Tamandua tetradactyla: one gene and its partner. Each later gene encodes a partner of the first gene's protein in a complex. Links are inferred from orthologs where the notes say so. Each region holds a gene or a part of one and is shown in the gene's direction. Other genes may lie near its edges.

The links.
Region 2: the proteins of PRKAA2 (region 1) and PRKAB1 are in contact, whole or in part, in a crystal structure (PDB 8BIK), measured with the Homo sapiens proteins. The link is inferred for Tamandua tetradactyla from reciprocal best matches to the Homo sapiens genes PRKAA2 and PRKAB1. Residues at the interface, in NP_006243.2 of Homo sapiens: Gly9, Val11, Lys12, Ile13, Thr21, Lys29, Lys31, Asn48, Arg49, Arg53, Asp56, Val58, Ile61, Lys62, Ile65, Gln66, Lys69, Val82, Ile83, Ser84, Thr85, Pro86, Thr87, Asp88, Phe89, Phe90, Met134, Met164, Ser165, Asp166; in NP_006244.2 of Homo sapiens: Pro79, Thr80, Val81, Arg83, Thr106, Ser108, Asn111, Val113, Ile115, Gln154, Val155, Asp159, Phe160, Glu161, Val162, Phe163, Ala165, Leu166, Asp169, Ser170, Lys172, Cys173, Pro186, Tyr187, His188, Gln189, Glu190, Pro191, Tyr192, Ala202.

The regions. Positions count from the first base shown.
Region 1 is NC_135328.1:164,518,929-164,527,803, reverse strand, and holds the start of PRKAA2 (5'-AMP-activated protein kinase catalytic subunit alpha-2), read left to right. Parts: upstream 1-4,910; 5' UTR 4,911-4,958; coding exon 4,959-5,052; intron 5,053-8,875. UniProt on the Homo sapiens protein: Catalytic subunit of AMP-activated protein kinase (AMPK), an energy sensor protein kinase that plays a key role in regulating cellular energy metabolism.
Region 2 is NC_135331.1:19,839,726-19,849,442, forward strand, and holds the start of PRKAB1 (5'-AMP-activated protein kinase subunit beta-1), read left to right. Parts: upstream 1-5,446; 5' UTR 5,447-5,765; coding exon 5,766-5,924; intron 5,925-8,142; coding exon 8,143-8,306; intron 8,307-9,230; coding exon 9,231-9,324; intron 9,325-9,567; coding exon 9,568-9,682; intron 9,683-9,717. UniProt on the Homo sapiens protein: Non-catalytic subunit of AMP-activated protein kinase (AMPK), an energy sensor protein kinase that plays a key role in regulating cellular energy metabolism.

The DNA.
Region 1 (8,875 bases):
TTGTTTCCATGAATCCAAATGTGTGTGGTAACTTTTCATTAGATGGGTTCCATAGAGATGTGTCTCTACCCATTTAAGGTGGGATTCCTTACTGGAGCCCTTTAGGAGGGAACCATTTTGGAAAAAGCTAGAGAGCCCACGCAACCAGAGACCTTTGGAGATGAAGAAGGAAATGCCTCCAGGAGAGCTTCCCGAAACAAGAAGCCTGGAGAGAAAGCCAGCAGATGTTGCCATGTTTGCCATGTGCCTTTCCAGTTGAGAGCAAAACCATGAACATCATCAGCCCTCTTGAACCAAGGTATCTTTCCATGGGTGCCATAGAAGGGACATTTCTATAGCCTTGCTTTAATTTGGACATTTTCATGGCCTTAGAACTGTAAACTTGCAACTTAATAAATTCTGCTTTTTAAAAGCCATTCTGTTTCTGGTATATCACATTCTGGCAGCTTGCACACTAGAACAGCCCTACATGTTCTGGTTCATATCTACCTCCAAACTCACTAAAAATGACTACTACACTGAGATGTGAAATTAGCTTTTTATTTAGTATGTATTAATTTTGATTTCTCTTTTGAAGTGTTCCTCCCTAAATTTGTGTTCTTTGATTTTCTACTAAGTCACCCTTTTCTTTATTTTAATTCAACAAACATTTTTGGAATGATGGACCAGGTTTCACTAGCTCTGAGGGACATCAGATATCAGATAGGGTATGAATACATTGTTCATGAACATATGTATATTTCTTATGCATATGTTTATAAATATATAGAAAAATATGAAAATACATATAAAATATTAATATAATAATAATGTTTGCACATATAAATAGAATTGACAAATGCTATAGTAGCTATGTGAGTGTAATGGGAACCCTAAAGAGAAACATATAATCAAAAACTTGATTAGAGAAAACATTGAATTATCTTTCTATTCTCTCTATAAAAATATTACAAATATCAAGAGGAAATCAAAGATGATTGGCAAAAAATGTAGAGAACAAGTATTGTAGAGGTATGTTGATAGTAGTTAATTGATAAAAATATTTTTCTGGATTTGGAGATGTTTATAAAATCCGTTGTTTAAAAATCTGTAGATTGTTGTGATTTTTTCTTCACATAAATACTCACTTGCATACTTAGTTTTGTATTTTTTCCTTAAACAAATCCCCCAAAGTGTATAAACACCAGGTAGCAGATAACCTGAATCCACTTGGGTGCCTACAATTTACTAGGCACTGTTCTGGGAGCTAAGAATTTATCAGTGAATATAACAGAAAACCCCCTCTCCTTGGGAATGTAACATTTTAGTTGTGGGGAATCACACAAAACAAAAACATAATAAATAAGCTAAATAGCATATTAGAAAGTGACGACAACTGTAAGCAGTTGGGGAGAGTAAGGGTGATGGAGCACGCAGGCCCTTGGGTGAGACGAAAGTGTACTTTTAAATAGGGTGTTCAGAATTCACTTCACCTAGATGACTCAGAGCAAAGAAGGAATTGGTTATTGATAATATCAAGGGAATCTAGTATAGTGTTTTAGATATTCGGATGTCATTATTCTCCTTATTCAGGCCCTGCTTTGGAACAAAGTAAAATTACCCCAAAGGCTCTGTTTTAGTTTGCAAATGCTGCTGGAATGCAATATATCAGAAATGGGATGGCTTTTAAGAAGCATGCTTATTTAGTTACAAGTTTACAATTCTAAGGCCATAAAAATGTCCAAACTCAGACATCCAGGGAAAGATACTTTGAATCAAGAAAGGCTGATGGCATCTGGAACACCTCTATCACTGGGGAAGGTACATGGCTGGCGTCTGCTGGTCTTTTGGCTTATGGTTTCAAAAGCTTCCCTGGGGGCATATTCTTTCTGCATCTCCAAATGTCTCCGTCTGTGTCAGCTCTGAACTTTTCTCAAAATGATTCCCTCTTAAAGGACTCCAGCAAGTGGATTAAGGCCCATTTTGAATAGGTGGAAACACATCTCCATGGAAACCCCCTAATCAAAAGTTCCCACCCACAATTGGGTGGATCACATCTCCATGGAAACAACTTAATAAAAAAAATCCCACCCAAACAATAGGTTAGCCCCCATAGGACTGGATTAGGAAAATGACCATGGCTTTTCTGGGGTATATAACCGTTTCAAACCAGCACAGGTTCAGAGGAGGATAAAGTTGTAACAGTTGGGCCAGGGTTAAGAAATGAACAGCTAGCTGGGGCATCTTAGAGACTGGTACTAAACAATATAGGGACACTAAAACATTCCTAGGAAATAATGAAGATTGTATTTGCTAGAAAGTCTAGAGGGTTAGACCATCAAGGGATATAGCTCTTTAGGAAATTTGGTCTGATTAACTGCTGGGTTTTGTTTTGCTTGCAGAGTGAAGCAAATATGGAATCACAGCTGACATATTCAGGGCAATACAACAAAAGCTGACAACGTTCACAAAGAGTTGTCCTTTTTCGCCTTTCTTCCCTGCTTCACATTCAATTTTTCTTGTAAATAAGGATAACAACTAAAAAAAAAACTATAAAAAATTTTTTTATACCCTGTTATTTTTATACCCTGTTATTTAAAGGGTATATTATTTGCATACCCTAGAAATAACAAAAATAGTAGAATGGTACTGTTGTGAAAATGTAAAACTTTCTTAGACCACATGTGCTTTTTGATAAGTAGCTATGAGTAGAAAAAAAAGGACAAGTTAGAGCTGGATAGGAGTTCTGACTCTGACCCTAATGCGTTCAGCCTTTCGCAAATCATAAAGAAAAAAGCTCGGTGTTATAAAATGAGGATAATAAGTTTCTTTTATGACAATTAAATGAGATAGTTTTGTTTAAATGTGCTTTTTGAATCAACAAAGTCCCATATACATTTTTGGTATAACAATAATGCTACAAGGTTGTCCATAGTAGCTTTAGTATGATCACAGGTATGAAGTATGTAGTAATGTAAGTTATAATTATCAACAAATAGTTAATGACAGCACAGAATACTATAAAAATCCCATTTATAGTCTGTTCATGCACATTAAAAGCAACCTAAATGGGAAGACTTTTCAACATCTTTTAATGGGATGTTAAAAGAAGAGAGACAAATATTTTATCTTAAAAGCAGAATAGGTATTTTGTTTTCTTACTCACTTCAGAGAATACTGAAGGAGTGACTTCACCAAATGAAAATTCAGCATCCAAAAAAAGGTCTATTTTTTTTTCCAAATTGCCACCTAAGTAGAGTGATTTTTAAATGACAGTTCTTACTGACAAGAAAAATGATCTGAGGAATGAAGGAAAATAGCCTCTGTTCAACAGCTGTGCTACCTATAGTTTATAAGCTGTGATCATTTTTCATCAGATTGTTTTGGGTGTTTATATAAAAATGAATGTATGAATGTTTGTCATTTGTATTTTTAGCACTTCTCAGAAAGGAAACTTTTCTTACATCCTATTCTTTCATAGGATGTATTCATCACACATATAAACAGTGTGATAGACTTCCTGTATGAGGAATGTGACCTTGAAACCCTAAGGTCATATACATTATAAATGTTCAACTAATCGTCAGTAATTTATTCCCAAACAGCAAATAATCTTAAATACTGAAAGATAGGACAGTACTTAAGGATGGAAGAAATGGAGGAAGGAAGAGATAATTACTTCATTTCCCAGTTCTCTGTCAGTCTTGAATACTCTCTTTGGGTATCATGCTTCTGGTTTCCTTTATCATTTTTTTTTTCACTACCGCCTTCATCACATTTATTCTTTCTTTGATTTGTGCCCTTATGCTGCCCTTGCTCTTCCAAATTTGTTTGTCCCTTATGTATTTTACATTCTATGCTCACTACATTCCTTTTTTCATTTCTTTCACTATTTTCCCCTTGTAAAGCTCTATCACATACTATTCCTGTACTATATATTTACAGAAATGTGCTAAAATACAATCGAGGAAATATTTGTGCTTCTGATTTATTGGAAAATTGTGCAAATTAAAATTTAGAGCTCTGGAGGAGAGGATCCCTTCCATTCTTAAAATCACTGAGAATTACGAAATATATAAAGGAGGACAATTGAAGAGAGCACAGAATTGGGTTCTCTTTGTACCATGACCTGTATCAAAAGTCAGCCAGTCTACGCCTAGAGAAAACTTTCCTTCTGCTCTCCTCAAACTGCCCTTTGATCAAGGCCCTTCCCACCACCTCCTTTGCGCTCCCCGATTTCCTTATTCCCCCATTTGTTTACATCCCTCCCTCCCCACAATTTGGGCCTGTTCCTTTTATTTCACTTCTACTTCCACCATTCCCTAGGATTCTTCCCAAATCTCTCCCTCACACTTTCACTCTCTTCAGTTTTCCCTACGGGCGCCCTTCAGCCCTAAAAGGCCACTGACCCTCAGGTCCCTCCCCCCACTCCCGGGTGTTGCCCCCTTCATCCACTGCTACGCACTACTGGCCGGCTTTCTTTTTCTTTTTCTTTTTTTTTTTTTTACATTGGCAGGCACCGGGAATCGAACCCGGCAAGCATTCTTACCTGCTGAGCCACCGTGGCCCGCCCCTGGCCGGCTTTCGGCCCGCCTTTGAACTCCCCACACCCTGCTCGGAGCCCTCCCTCAAGTCCCCAGCGCCGGTTCCCTCCTCGCCCGGGGGAACGACCTTCGCCGCCTAGCCGTTTCGCCGCCTCGGGCTCAGCGCTCACACACCCATCACGCCCCGGGCGTGGGCACCTCACCTTCTCCCCTCCGCAACTCCACGCGCCCAGCCCATAGACTCCGCGCTTCCCACGGGCCCCGGCCCACTTCCAACCCCTCCTCCCGGGACCCGCGCCCGCTCTGCCAGCCGCGGCTCGCCGCTCGGCGTCTCCCCGACGCCCCCCTCCCCCCCGCAGGTCCCGCTGCACTGTGGGTAGACGGCGGCGGCGTCCGCGCTGAGCAGCCTGCGGAGCAAGGCTGCGCGCGCCGAAGATGGCTGAGAAGCAGAAGCACGACGGGCGGGTGAAAATCGGTCACTACGTGTTAGGGGACACTCTGGGCGTCGGCACCTTCGGCAAAGTGAAGAGTTGAGTATCCCACCGAGGCCGTGGCGGGGGGCAGCCTCACACGTGGGAGGCCGGGCAGAGCCGCGGGAACCCCGGGCAGGCACAGGCCCTGAAGGCAGGTGGAGCGGCCGGGGCCGCGCGGAACCCAATGGCTCCGGGGAGGTGGCGCCACCGCCTCCCGAAGCAGCAGCGGCTCGAACCTGGTTGGGACCTGGTGAAGAGGGGTCGGGGTGTGGGCTGGGGGACAGACTTTCCAGTGGTCTGGAGCAAGGTGCTCTTTCTTGGAACTCAGTTTTCCTCTTCTGTGAAACTGGGAGTTGGAGCAAGAACTGTAAGGTGCCTTACAGCTCCGAGACTGTTTGGATAGGACTAGGGAATAATACACGTTACTGATTATTGTTTCGAATCCGTTCCAGGTACCCTGTTTTAGGTGCTTAACATGTGATGGTCATTTCGTCTTTACAGCAGTATGATGAGACGTTATCCTCACTGGAAAGAGGGCGAAAACTCGGATCCCCAGAGGTTTAGTAGAATGCCCAAGGTCACACAAAAATTGGCAGAAGGAGAGGATGTCTAAGATGTCTCCCAGTTCTGGCATTGCTGGGAGGTCCCTGCCACCTCCAGATTCTTTAATATTCCCCGAGCCTCTGTTGGTGGGACTGGCTGTTTAGGGGATGCCTCAGGGACCAAGAGATGGGGAATCTCCCGGACGTGTGAAATGCTGGAATGCAGCTGGGTTGGGTCTGGGCGTAAATTAGAACCGCGAGGTCTGAAGGTCGATTGGTGTGTATAAAATGATTCTGGGAAGGCTTCTTGAAAGGGGGAGAGAAAGAGGTTCCTCGCTGTTGGACTTTGGAGGATTTGGGACTGAGAGTGCCAGAGCTGCTCAAGCAGATTCTACTGAAGTCTGTTCTCATGGTGATAGGGTCCCACTTTGGGGGTAGAACTGGTTCCTTTTAGAATTAATATTGAACTTTCTTTCCCCCACCCCGTTTATAAGAGTCACCTGGGATTTAATAACGTGCCCTCTCTCCGAAACCAGAACCAGTTTATTAATAGTTCTTTGTTACAAACACAAAATTATTAGTGAAATGTTGGCTTTTTTTTCCCTTGTAGAAATGTTGGGAAGCAAAATGGAGTTTTTATTGTGAGATCTCTATTTCCTAGTAAAAATTCATATTGTAATCTGAAGTCCAGGCTGCTAAATAGGTGGTAGAGGCTCCTTGCTGATGAATTCCTGTTGCCTTCATATATCTGATACTCATTCATTTCTTCAGAAAACATTTATTGAGCATCTACGAAGTGCTATATACTGTTAATAGGCAGTGGGATACAGCAGGAAAGAAACCATATACAAATCCCTGTGTTCATGGAGCTCACATTCTTCTAGGAGGGGAAGGCAAACAATAATCAAAATACATCCGTTAAGTATACAATATGTTTAGTGTTATTGAGAAAAACGAGGCAGGGAAGGGAGGATAGGTAATTTTGTGGGATTTGCAGTTTTCAGGCAAAACCTCACAAACAAGGTCGTGGTTGAGTCAAGTTCTAAAGAAGGTTGCAAAATTCTTTGAAGTTCTATTAAGACTGTGAATCCTAGATTATTTTGAAAAACCTCATAGAGTGGATAGTTAGGAGAATGTATTTAGAACGAATATAGGAAGATCTGGAGTTGTATTTACACCTGTAATGTTACTGAGGACTATTGTATTATAACATTATACAGTTACTCAAGCAAACAACTCCTTTGCCATCTGGACTTGTAGACTCCTGAAGTTATAGAACTTACTGTGTACTTTCAAATTGTGCTGAAGTTTTTGTCTTTTTAAAATTCCTACACTGTAATCTGAATGTAGGGTAGGCCATCCATCAGCCCCATTGTTAAGGGGCAACTTAAATTTCTTTTGTATATGCTCTTAAGCTGCTGCCAGGCGTTAGCTTTTTAAATTATAAGTCAAGAGATGGAGCTTTGCTTTTTGAGAAATCCTTTTCCCGAAGAACTCCTTTCTAGTGAATAACTAGTTGGAGCAGGTCTCCTAATACTGTGAGAGCCTCTCTAAAGTTTTCCTGTGGCTTCTCATCCAGGATTAGAAGCAATACAATGGTTTGTTTAATAAAAATTACAGAAATTACTACAATTTTAATCATTTAGCTCAAGAGACAAGTAAAACAAAAGCACATGCAACTATTAAGACAGTTTTTATTGAGGTAGGTATATTTTACATATAAAATTCTTCCGTATCAAATGTACAATTCAGTGATTTTTTAGTAACTTCACTGAGTGGTGCAAACAATGTAAATGTATTTTAGAATATTTTTACCCCACCCTCAGCCCCTCTCCCTCCCTCAGCCACAGGGATCACTAATTTATTTTCTGTCTATGTGCATTTGTTTTTTTCTAGACATTTTATATCAATGAAATAATTTAGTATGGGGGATGCCTGTGTCTAGCTTCATTAACTTAATATAATGCTTTTCAGATTCATGCATAATGTAACATCTATTAGTAGTTCATTCCTTTTTATTGCTGAGTAATATTCTATTGTATGGCTACACCACATCTTGTCTCTGCATTTGCCAGTAAATGGACATTGTTTTCAGTTTGGAGCTATCAACATTTTCATGCAAGTCTTTGTGTAGACTTATGTTTTCATATTTCCTGGGTAGATATCTAAGAATGGGATTGCTGGGTTATATCATAGGTTTATGTTTAACTTTTTGAGAGACTGCCAAATTGTTTTCCAAAGTGTTGCACCATTTTATGACCCTGCCAACAATATATAAGGGTTACTATTTCTTCACATCCTTTTCAATATTTGTTATTGTTTGTCTTATTTATTATAGCCATTGTAGTGGGTATGAAATGATATTTCATTGTGGCTTTACTTTGTATTTCCCTAATGACCAATGATGTTGAACATCTTTTCATGTATCAGTTAGCTCTTCTTCATGTATCTTCTTTGGTGAAATGTCTGTTCAGATCTTTTGCTTATTTTTTCATTGGATTCTTTGTCTTTTTCTTATAAATTGAATTGTTAGAATTCTTTGAAAAGTCTGAATACAAGTCCTTTATTGGATGTCTTGCAAACATTTTCTTCCAGTCAGTTTGTATTTTATTTTCTGCTGGTGCCTTTTGAAGGATAAAAGTTTTGAATTTTGGTAAGGTGCAATTTTATCAGTTTTTTCTTTTATGGACGAGGGCTTTGGTGACATGGCCAAGAATTCTTTGCCTAGCCCAAGATGTCAGATTTTCTTGTAAACTTTTCTATTGTTTTACCTCTTAAGATTAAGTCTGTGTCCATTTTGAGTTGATTTTTGCATATGGTGTCAGGTGATGTTCTAAGTTCAGCTTTTTGTTACATGAATATCCAATTGTCCCAACATCTTTTGTTGAAAACACATGCATTTTTTATTGCTATAGATTTAAATCTTGTAAAATCAGTTTCTATTCAAAATCTTAGTAGGTGACTTAATTTTATATGGCTAAAAGCACTTGGGAATGGGGGAATGAGGAGCATTTTATATACTGTTACATTTCATCCTCTTTTAACTGTTATGTCAATTATAGAATTTGAAAATTTAACTTAAATTGTTGATGTATCATTTTATGAACCAAAGTCAGTTACAATAAGCCAGAGTTGGAAATGGCTTAGTTTTCATTTAAAAACACTATCGTCACGTTTATTTTTTAAAAAGTATATGGAGATCCTTCTATTTGTTGATAATTAAAACCTTAAAATGTTCGAAACTGAAAATTTTCCTTCATAACCTGTCTGTAACCTGTATAGCTTGTATTGCTACATTACTAAGTGAAGTGCTTATGGAAACAGTCTGTGTGGGCAA
Region 2 (9,717 bases), on another chromosome or scaffold:
TATACCATCTCAGTCTTTATCGTCTTATCTTTCCTTCTGATTTCATTTGTGCCCCCAGGCCTTCTCCCTCTATCATTCTCATATTCAGCTTCATTCAGTGTTCCAACATTATTGTGTTACAGATAGGTAATATTGTGCTATCCATTTCTGAATTTTTACAATCAGTCCTGTTGCATAATCTGTATCCCTTCAGCTCCAATTACTCAATATCTACCCTATTTCTATCTCTTGATGGTCTCAGTTCTTAACTGAAATTCCCCAAGTTCATTCATTAATGTTAGTTCATATCAGTGAAACCAAATAGTGTTTGTCCTTTTGTTCCTGGCTAATCTCACTCAGCATAATGTCCTTAAGGTCCATCCATGTTGTTACATACTTCATAAAATTTATTCTGTCTTACAGCTGCATAATATTCCATTGTATGTATATAGTACAGCTTGTTTAGCCACTCACCTGTTGGTGGACATTTGGGCTGTTTCCATCTCTTGACAATTGTAAATAATGCTGCTATAAACATTGGTGTGCAAATATCCGTTTGTGTCCTTGCCCTCATGTACTCTGAGTAGATACCTAGCAATGGTATTGCTGGGTCATATGGCAATTCTATACTTAGCTTCCTGAGGATCTGCCCAACTGCCTTCCACAGTTGTTGTACCATTTGACATTCCCACCAACAGTGGGTAAGTGTGCCTCTTTCTCCATATCCTCTCCAGCACTTGCTGTTTTCTGTTTTATTGATAATGGCCATTCTGGTGGGTGTCAGATGATATCTCATTGTGCATTTGATTTGTATTTCCCTAATAGCCAGGGAAGTTGAGCATCCTTTCATGTGCCTTTTGGCCATTTGTTTTTCCTCTTCTGAGAAATGTCTGTTCAAGTCTTTTGCCCATTTTGTAATTGGTTTGTCTGTTTTTTTGTTGTTGAATTGAACAATCTCTTTATATAATACTAGACCTTTATCTGATATATCGTTTCCAAATATTGTCTCCCATTTTGTAGGCTGTCTTTTTACTTTCTTGTTGAAGTTCTTTGATGCACAAAAGTATTTAATTTTGAGGAGTTTCCATTTATTTATGCTCGTGCTTTGGGTGTAAGGTCTAGGAAACCACCTCCTATTATAAGATTTATAAGATATCTCCCTACATTTTCTTCTAACAGTTTTATGGTCTTAGATTTAATGTTTAGGTCTTTGATCCATTTTGAGTTCATTTTTGTATAGGGTGTGAGATATGGAGCCTCTTTCATTCTTTCACATGTGGCTATCCAGTTCTCTGGGCACCATTTATTGAAGAGACTATTCTTTCCCAGGTAAGTTAGCTTGACTGCCTTATCAAAGATCAATTGTCCATAGATGAGAGGGTCTCTATCTGAACACTCTATTCTATTCCATTGGTCAGTATATCTGTCTTTATGCCAGTACCATGCTGTTTTGACCACTGTAGCTTCATAATACGCCTTAAAGTCAGGTGGCATGAGACCTCCGACTTCATTTTTCTTTCCCAGGATACTTTTAGTTATTCAGGACACCCTGCCCTTCAAGATAAATTTGGTTATTTGGTTTTTCTATTTCTGAAAAGTAAGTTTTGGGGATTTTAATTGGTATTGCATTGAATCTGTAAACCAATTTAGGAAGAATTGACATGTTTATATTTAGTCTTCCCATCCATGAACACGGTATGCCCTTCCATTTATTTAGGTCTTCTGTGATTTCTTTTAACAATTTCTTACAATTTTCTCTGTATAGGTCTTTTGTCTCTTTAGTTAAATTTATTCCTAAATATTTTATTCTTTTGATTGCAATTATAAATGGAATTTTTTTCTTGATTCCCCTCTCAGATTGTTCATTACTAGTGTATAGAAACACTATAGATTTTTGAGTGTTGATTTGTAATCTGCCACTTTGCTGTACTCATTTATTAGCTCTAGTAGTTTTGCTGTGGGTTTTTCCGGGTTTTTGACACATAGAATCATATCATCTGCAAACAGTGAGAGTTTTTACTTCTTCCTTTCCAATTTTGATGACTTGTATTTCTTTTTCTTGTCTAATTGCTCTGGCTAGAACTTCCAACACAATGTTGAATAACAGTGGTGACAGAAGACATCCTTGTCTTGTTCCTGATCTTAGGGGAAAAGTTTTCAGTTTTTCCCCCATTGAGGATGATGTTAGCTGTGGGTTTTTCATATATTCCCTTTATCGTGTTGAGGAAGTTCCTTTCTATTCCTATCCTTTGAAGTGTTTTCAACAGGAAAGGATGTTGAATTTTGTCAGATGCCTTTTCTGCATCAATTAAGATGATCATGTGGTTTTTCTGCTTTGATTTGTTGATATGGTGTATTACATTAATTGATTTTCTTATGTTGAACCATCCTTACATACCTAGGATGAATCCTACTTGGTCATGGTGTATAATTCTTTTAATATGCTTCTGGATTCAATTTGCTAGAATTTTGCTGAGGATTTTTGCATCTATATTCATTAGAGAGTTTGGTCTGTAGTTTTCTTTTTTTGTAATATCTTTGTCTGGCTTTGGTATGAGGGTGATGTTGGCTTCATAGAATGAGTTAGGTAGCTTTCCTTCCTCTTCAATTTTTTTGAATAGTTTGAGCAGAATTGGTACTAATTCTTTCTGAAATGTTTAGTAGAATTCACATGTGAAGCCATCTGGTCCTGGACTTTTCTTCTGGGGGAGCTTCTTGGTGACTGATTCAGTTTCTTTACTTGCGATTTGTTTGTTGAAGTCGTCAATTTCTTCTCGAGTCAGTGTTAGTTGTTCATGCCTTTCTAGGAAGTTGTCCATTTCATCTACATTGTCGAGTTTATTAGCATAAAGTTGTTCATAGTATCCTCTCATTACTTCCTTTATTTCTGTGAGGTCAGTGGTTATGTCTCCTCTTCCATTTCTGATTTTATTTATTTGCATCCTCTCTCTTCTTTTTGTCAACCTCGCTAAGGGTCCGTCAATCTTACTGATTTTCTCATAGAACCAACTTCTGGTTTTGTTGTTTCTCAATTGTTTTCATGATCTCGATTTCATTTACTTCTTTCCTTTTGCTTGCTTTGGGGTCAGTTTGCTGTTCTTTCTCTGGTTCTTTCAAGTGGACAGCCCCTGCTGCTAGTAAAGTCCCCTTCCTTTCCCCTCTGGGAAGCAGCATGTGGGGGAGGGGCACGGCTTTGGGGACTCATGGTTCTGGGGGGGTTCGCAGCTGGTCCAGATGGTGCAGACTGGGGTACGCGTGTGTCTGGGCACTGATGTGGCCCCAACAGTTGTTCTGTACTTTTTCCGGCTATTTACTAGCTGCTCTGGAGGACGAACTAAATCCCACACCTCACTAAGCCGCCATCTTGGCTCTCCTCCTCTATTTTTCCTTTTTAAAAGTTGCTTAGTAGTCTATAAAATGATTGATTGTATTTAGCACATTTAGCCATTCTACTGATAAAATTTTAAGATTTTGCAATTTTTCGTTCCCTTATTTTATCAAATCTAAGATTCTGTTAATTGTAAGAAATACCCAATATCAGGGATATTAAAATGTGAAAAAAGTGTGCAAATTAGACTTATGTAATATGGCTTACAGATGATGCTGTAAATGCACTTGCTTGAATATAATTTTCATGCATGCATGTCTGTAGAGGTCTCCTAGAAGTAAAGTTAGGAGTCAAAATGAAGGTGCATTTTTATTTTGGTAGATACTGTCAGATTCCCCTCCTGGGAACCATGTATTGTCTTTTGTGTTCCCATTTACTTCGCACAATGCCTGGCACTTTATAGATATTAAATAGATGTCGATTCAGTGGATACTGTGTGTTAAGAAGTGAAAGTCCCCTTTCTATCCATTGAAAGGTGGTGAGTTCTCTGCCCTATGCGCTCAGTAGCCACTTCCTGAGACACCAGGGTTTCAAAGAGAGAGATTATTGCAAGGCACGAAGCAGGAAGTCAGATGGCCTGTTGGCCCAAAAATCTGTCTCCCTGACTTTAGTAATTCTGATAGTGTTATAGCATTAAAAGATGGGCAAATTTTAGGATAATGAGCACAATGGCTCCAGATGATGTAATTAGAAGGGATCTGATTGTTAAGCATGCACAGATTGATTACATGCTTAGTCACAGAATGTAAGAAAAGGTGGCCTTGATATGATGGGGGTGACTTTTAGTATTATGATGAGGTTTAAGTGACTTACAAGTTAAAGTCTAAGCAACTGCGCATGTCAGGTGGGCCTATTTTGGGTAGATCCAGCTTCAGTTATCAAGATAACTTTGGATTTAGGGTGGGTTAGCTCTGGGCTGACGCTAGACTTTTCATTAGTAAACATTTGGAGCTGTGGTCAGTGATCACAAGACTCTAAAGTCCAATAACTGAATAAAGTGGGTACAAGTGAAGGTTAGTCACAAGATTTTTACAATCACAAGGGCACAAGATAAAGGTCATAAAATCATTATCAGAGATCAAGGCAGCTGGATTACATAGAGGTCAGAGATATGAGGTATTTCCCTCTGCTGTCTAACATACTAGAAAGTAAAAGGGAACATCTATATAATGATTCAGTAATTGTAATCATCCCTTAAATTCTAACTTCTCAGTTACAACTGCACAGTCAGGCCTAGCAACTATAAAACATTTCGAGATACATGCAAACAAACTAAACAAAACCCTACCACAAGGGAGGGAGTGACTGAAAAGATTACAAAGTTAATACTAAATTTGTGCACACATTTAGTGGTCACAGTAAATTATAAATGTTAATAAATGAATGCATTTTATGCAGAATGATGTGTCCAAATTGATTGCAAGATATCTTTTAAAATTACTGAAAAGGTTGCTCAATCAGTTCGTTAAAAATACAATATTGACTACAGCTTTTGACAACTTCCGAGACACAAGACAAGAAATTTCCAGAGATCTTATGATCTGCCCTTTTTCTTAAGCAACTGCAGGGCGACCTGCATCAGTGCCACCTGGAGTGCTTATTAAATGCAGACCCCACTTCAGATCTGCTGAATCATAATTTCCGGGGATTAGCGTCCAGGGAATTTGCATTTTAAACACGCACATCAGGTGCTTCTAATGCACTCCTAAGAGTGAGAGTTATTGCCTTTAAAGGGCTTTAAGGAGAGGGTCTCAACTAGATTTGCACTTTTAAAAGATCCCTTTGGCTGTAGAGGCGAATTAATTGGAGCTGGGCAGACAGAATGCCTCCCTACTGGGCGCCGGGAGAGGAGCCCGAAAGGCCCGGGCACTAGGGCGCCCCCTGCCGGCCCTCAGCAGCCTCATCCTAGACCCGACCCCGAGCGGCTGACTGCGACTGCGCCCTCCGAAGCCCGCGGAGGCCGCCTCAGGGCGCCCGCGGCCGCATAGTACGGAACTACAAGCGGAAGTGAGGTCAAGCTAGCCTCGCGCGCTCTGCCGGCCGCGGTCGGCCCCACCCCGCGGACCGGCTGAGTCGCGGAGGCGCCGGAAGCGGAAGTAGTAGGAAGGTGGGGGAGTTGTTGGGTAAGTTTCGGATCGTGTTGGTGCTTTGTGGTCAAGTTTTGTAGGTTTGCGGGCTTGCTGCGCCGTTCCCGGAGCAGGGGGAAGCGCGAGTGCGAGACCTCGCCAGCCCTGCTGACCCAGCGGAACCTGCCCCCAGCCCCGAACCCTCTCCTGAGGGCTGGTGGTACCGCGGGACTCCGGAATCCTTCCCCAGGGTCCTTGGGACCCCTGGCCGCGTTCCTTCCCTGGAGTGAAGCTCCGCCCGGCTTCCCCGGTGCCCCCCTCAGAGCCCAGCAATGGGCAACACGAGCAGCGAGCGCGCCGCCCTGGAAAGGCAGGGCGGCCATAAGACGCACCGGAGGGACAGCTCGGGGGGGGCCAAGGACGGGGACAGGCCCAAGATCCTAATGGACAGCCCTGAGGATGCCTACATCTACCACTCCGAGGAAATTAAGGTGCGAGGGTTGGGGGAAATGAGGTTTCCTTTGACGCTCTACCAGACCCCCTTTCCCACAGCCCCGCCGAAACTCGCCGACGGATGGGTAATGGGCTGGGAGGAGGTTAAGTACTTCAGCCTGTGCACCTAAAAGTGAAATGGTCCTCTGAGAGCGCTCTTGGCAATCTAGGAACCTGTGTCTAATTACCGATATTAAAAAGTCACCCCGAGGGAGGAGGAACTCATTAAGTGGCAAACTCTGGGACAGTTTCAGATTCTTAATTAAAAGAGCCTGGCTAGCTGTAACTGAACTCCAGTGTCCGCTTTTCTCCTAGGTATGTTTAATTTTACAGCTTTGAAAAATCTTCCCTCGCCTTTTTGCGGACTGGCGCTTCTGCAAAAGTTTGGCAGTTTATTGTATATTTTGGAGGTAAACCAGAGCACACAAGTAAATTGGAAAGTAGGGTTGAACCACTCACTGCAGTTGCTAGAGGTGTTTAGTTGTACTGTGAGCATAGAAAAATAATGTGACTTCTGAAGGGCAGGAGGGAGGTAGCTAGCTGCTCAGCTTCTCTCGCTTGTTTAAACAAGACTTAATATTTTAAACAGGCCAAAGCAAACATTTTGCAGACCAAACTTAGATTCCCTCCTGCCGATTGCTCTCATTTATTAAACACCCCCAAGAGGACTCGGTCCTGCTTCAGCTACATTACTGCTAATCACTGGTGTGGTATGGCCTATTAACAAAAAACTAGTTCCTTAAAAAAAGTTGGGAAGGGTGAAGGCGTCCCACCCAACATATTCTGTTAGTATCTGGCTGCACTTTAATCATCGTCGTTCGTAAGGCCAGTTGCTGGGCAACTCATTCCAATTTTATTCATGTCTTTTCTTGGATATTGGGCTGGAGGACCATGTTAAAATTACCTCATATCCTCACATGGATCTTAGCTTTGAGTCTAACTATAAAGCACTTTTATTTGGCCCTACATCCTGTGGCTTGAGTTTCTGAATCCGTTGCATTTCTGAAAAGCTTTGTGTAAAGCAAACTTTGGAATCATATTTCTCCACTAACTTAACATCCCTTCCCATAGAACTAATTTTGGCTTCAAAAAGCGAATTTAAGGTACCATAACTATTTTCTTCAAGTTTTTGCTGCTCCCACAACTCCGGCAAAAAATGTTTAGCCTACAGATTACCTTTGGAAAATGATTTTTAGTACTATTCGTTCTCATTTCATCAGGAGTTACTTAAATCGTGTAGTGGGCACACTGGGTTGCGTGCCCCAAGTACCAAAAAAGTCATGGATTCTTTTAATTACACCATTCCACCATTTTGGCTGCAGTTACTTATCCCTTCCTGGTAATAAAGTGATTCCAGTCTGTATTCTTTAATCTGTAGATCTCATCAGAGCTCAAACAATTGCAGCCATCTTTTAGATAAGTTTAAGTGCCGGAAACCTGCAGGACTTCCATATTAGTCTCCCAGCCTGGAACTCCTGTTTTTTAAAAATCTTTGGCCTCTCACTAGGAGAATAAGATCCGTTATCACATCTGTTTAACCCAAACAGAGTCAGAAGTGTTTTGTTCTCCCTCATCCCAGAATAATTTGTGCATACCTCAGTTACATAGTACTGATCACAATGAAATTATAGTTTAGCATAACTCTTGAGGGGTCTGTCTTGGTCTTACTCATCTTTTTCTCCCCACTGCCTGGACAGCACTCAGGGAATGGCTTTTCCCTTCCTACCCAGAATTTGGATTTGCCAGTTTTCATATTGACAGCTCTGGGATTGTCCCTCATAAATTGTCCTGCACTGCAAATCTTGCTTAATTAAGTTGAGAGGAAACTGACATTTATTAAGCTGGCTTTGGATTCATTGCAGTCTTCTTCCAAGCGTGTTTTCAGCTTGCCCCAGCATTTTGATGTATGCCTCTTTAATCACAACAGCAGTTTAACCAACAATTATTAAAGACCTGCCATGTGTCAGATACCATGTACAGAGGACTTTGCATGGGCTGTCTCACTTTTCCTAACAACTGCAGGACATAGTTATTTTTGTTATTTCCATTTTGCAGATGGGGAAACTGAGGCGTGACTAGTCAGTTATGGAGTCTGAATGTAATTCTGGGTAGTAATAGCTACCTCTCTAAAATGAATTCTCAATATTTAGGGTAATTGTCTACCGCAAGGAACTCACTCATGGCTTCCTGTCCCTAAGTAAACTGCTTTGTTTCCAGGCTCCAGAGAAGGAGGAATTCCTGGCCTGGCAGCATGATCTGGAAGTGAATGATAAAGCTCCCACTCAGGCTAGGCCAACTGTATTTCGATGGACAGGGGGAGGAAAGGAAGTTTACTTATCTGGTTCCTTCAATAACTGGAGCAAACTTCCCCTCACAAGAAGGTAATTGCCTGGGGAGTGTTTATGTATTTGTTTTATCCACGGATATTCTTATTCCTAAAGGGTGTTTCTATTAATAGATGTTGAATGGGAAAGTAATCTTGTGTCATAATTCATAGGGTTCAGCATTCACACCCAAGCTGTCTTTAGGTTACCCCTTTCCTAGAAGAAAGTATCTCTCTGTTGAGAATGTTTCTGTTTCATGGACATCTTTCACTTCACATATTCAGCTATATATTTGTCAGGCAGAACTTCTCTGTCAGAGAGAATTCTCCTAGTGCAGGGGAGAGAACACTGGCCTGGGAATCTTGATGAAAATGAAGGGAGAAGTTGTGTCCTGCTAGGCAGGCCTGCTTGTTTACTGTGGGCTGCCTCCTTTTAGATGGCAACATTGGAGAAGGAAGGGGCGGTTCGGCACAGTCACGAGTCAGAGGAACAAAACAAAGTGAAAGAGGTTTCCCGTTATCTCTTTTCAGTAGTTTTGCTAGTTTCTTTAGAGAACATTTGTGTGTCCTGTTAAACTGATCTCTCTCCCTGCCCAAGGCAGGCTGACAAAGAGTAAAACAGGCAGGTTACTGTTTGTTTTGTATTGTCATTTTCCTTGGCATCTGGTGCTGCCATGTATTATTTTCCGAGCATGATAAGGACGAATGCTTGTTAGATGAAGTTTTAGCATTAGAAATGGGGATCCCCAGTATTTGAGCAAAGTGACTTTTCAGGAAAACCTTTTCCATTGCTACTTTCTTAGAGCTTTTCTAGATTTAGATCATTATACCAACTTGTCTAAATTGGTTAAAAATGTTTATGCTGCAGCTACCCTCTTGGTTTTTACATGTGCATGTTTGTTTTGTTCCATCACTGGTTTTGCAAATATGCCAAGAAGGCAGCCTACCCAGCTAAGGTCCTCTGCTTCCTTTTGCCTTGCAGCCACAATAACTTTGTAGCCATCCTGGATCTGCCTGAAGGAGAGCATCAGTACAAGTTCTTTGTGGATGGTCAGTGGACGCATGACCCTTCCGAGGTATTCTTCCTCCTACCCTTTGTCCTCTGAGTGTCTGCACAATCTAAATGAATCCCTTTCCCCATAGAGATTGTTGCCAGGTCCCTTCACCTGCCACCAAAGTCCCTCTGTGTGACTGAGCTAGGGAGCAGTGCTAATTGTCTATCCTCGACTAATTGAAGTACTTGACCAAGGTGAACAGGGTGGCTAGCCAGGAGATGGGACCCTCCACATTATGATTTCTTCCTCTCTCTCTCTTTCCAGCCAATAGTAACCAGCCAGCTTGGTACAGTTAACAACATCATTCAAGTGAAGAAAACTGACTTTGAAGTCTTTGATGCCTTAATGGTGGATTCCCAGAAGTGCTCCGATGTGTCTGGTATGAACAGTTACTTTATACCACGTGTGTGCAGG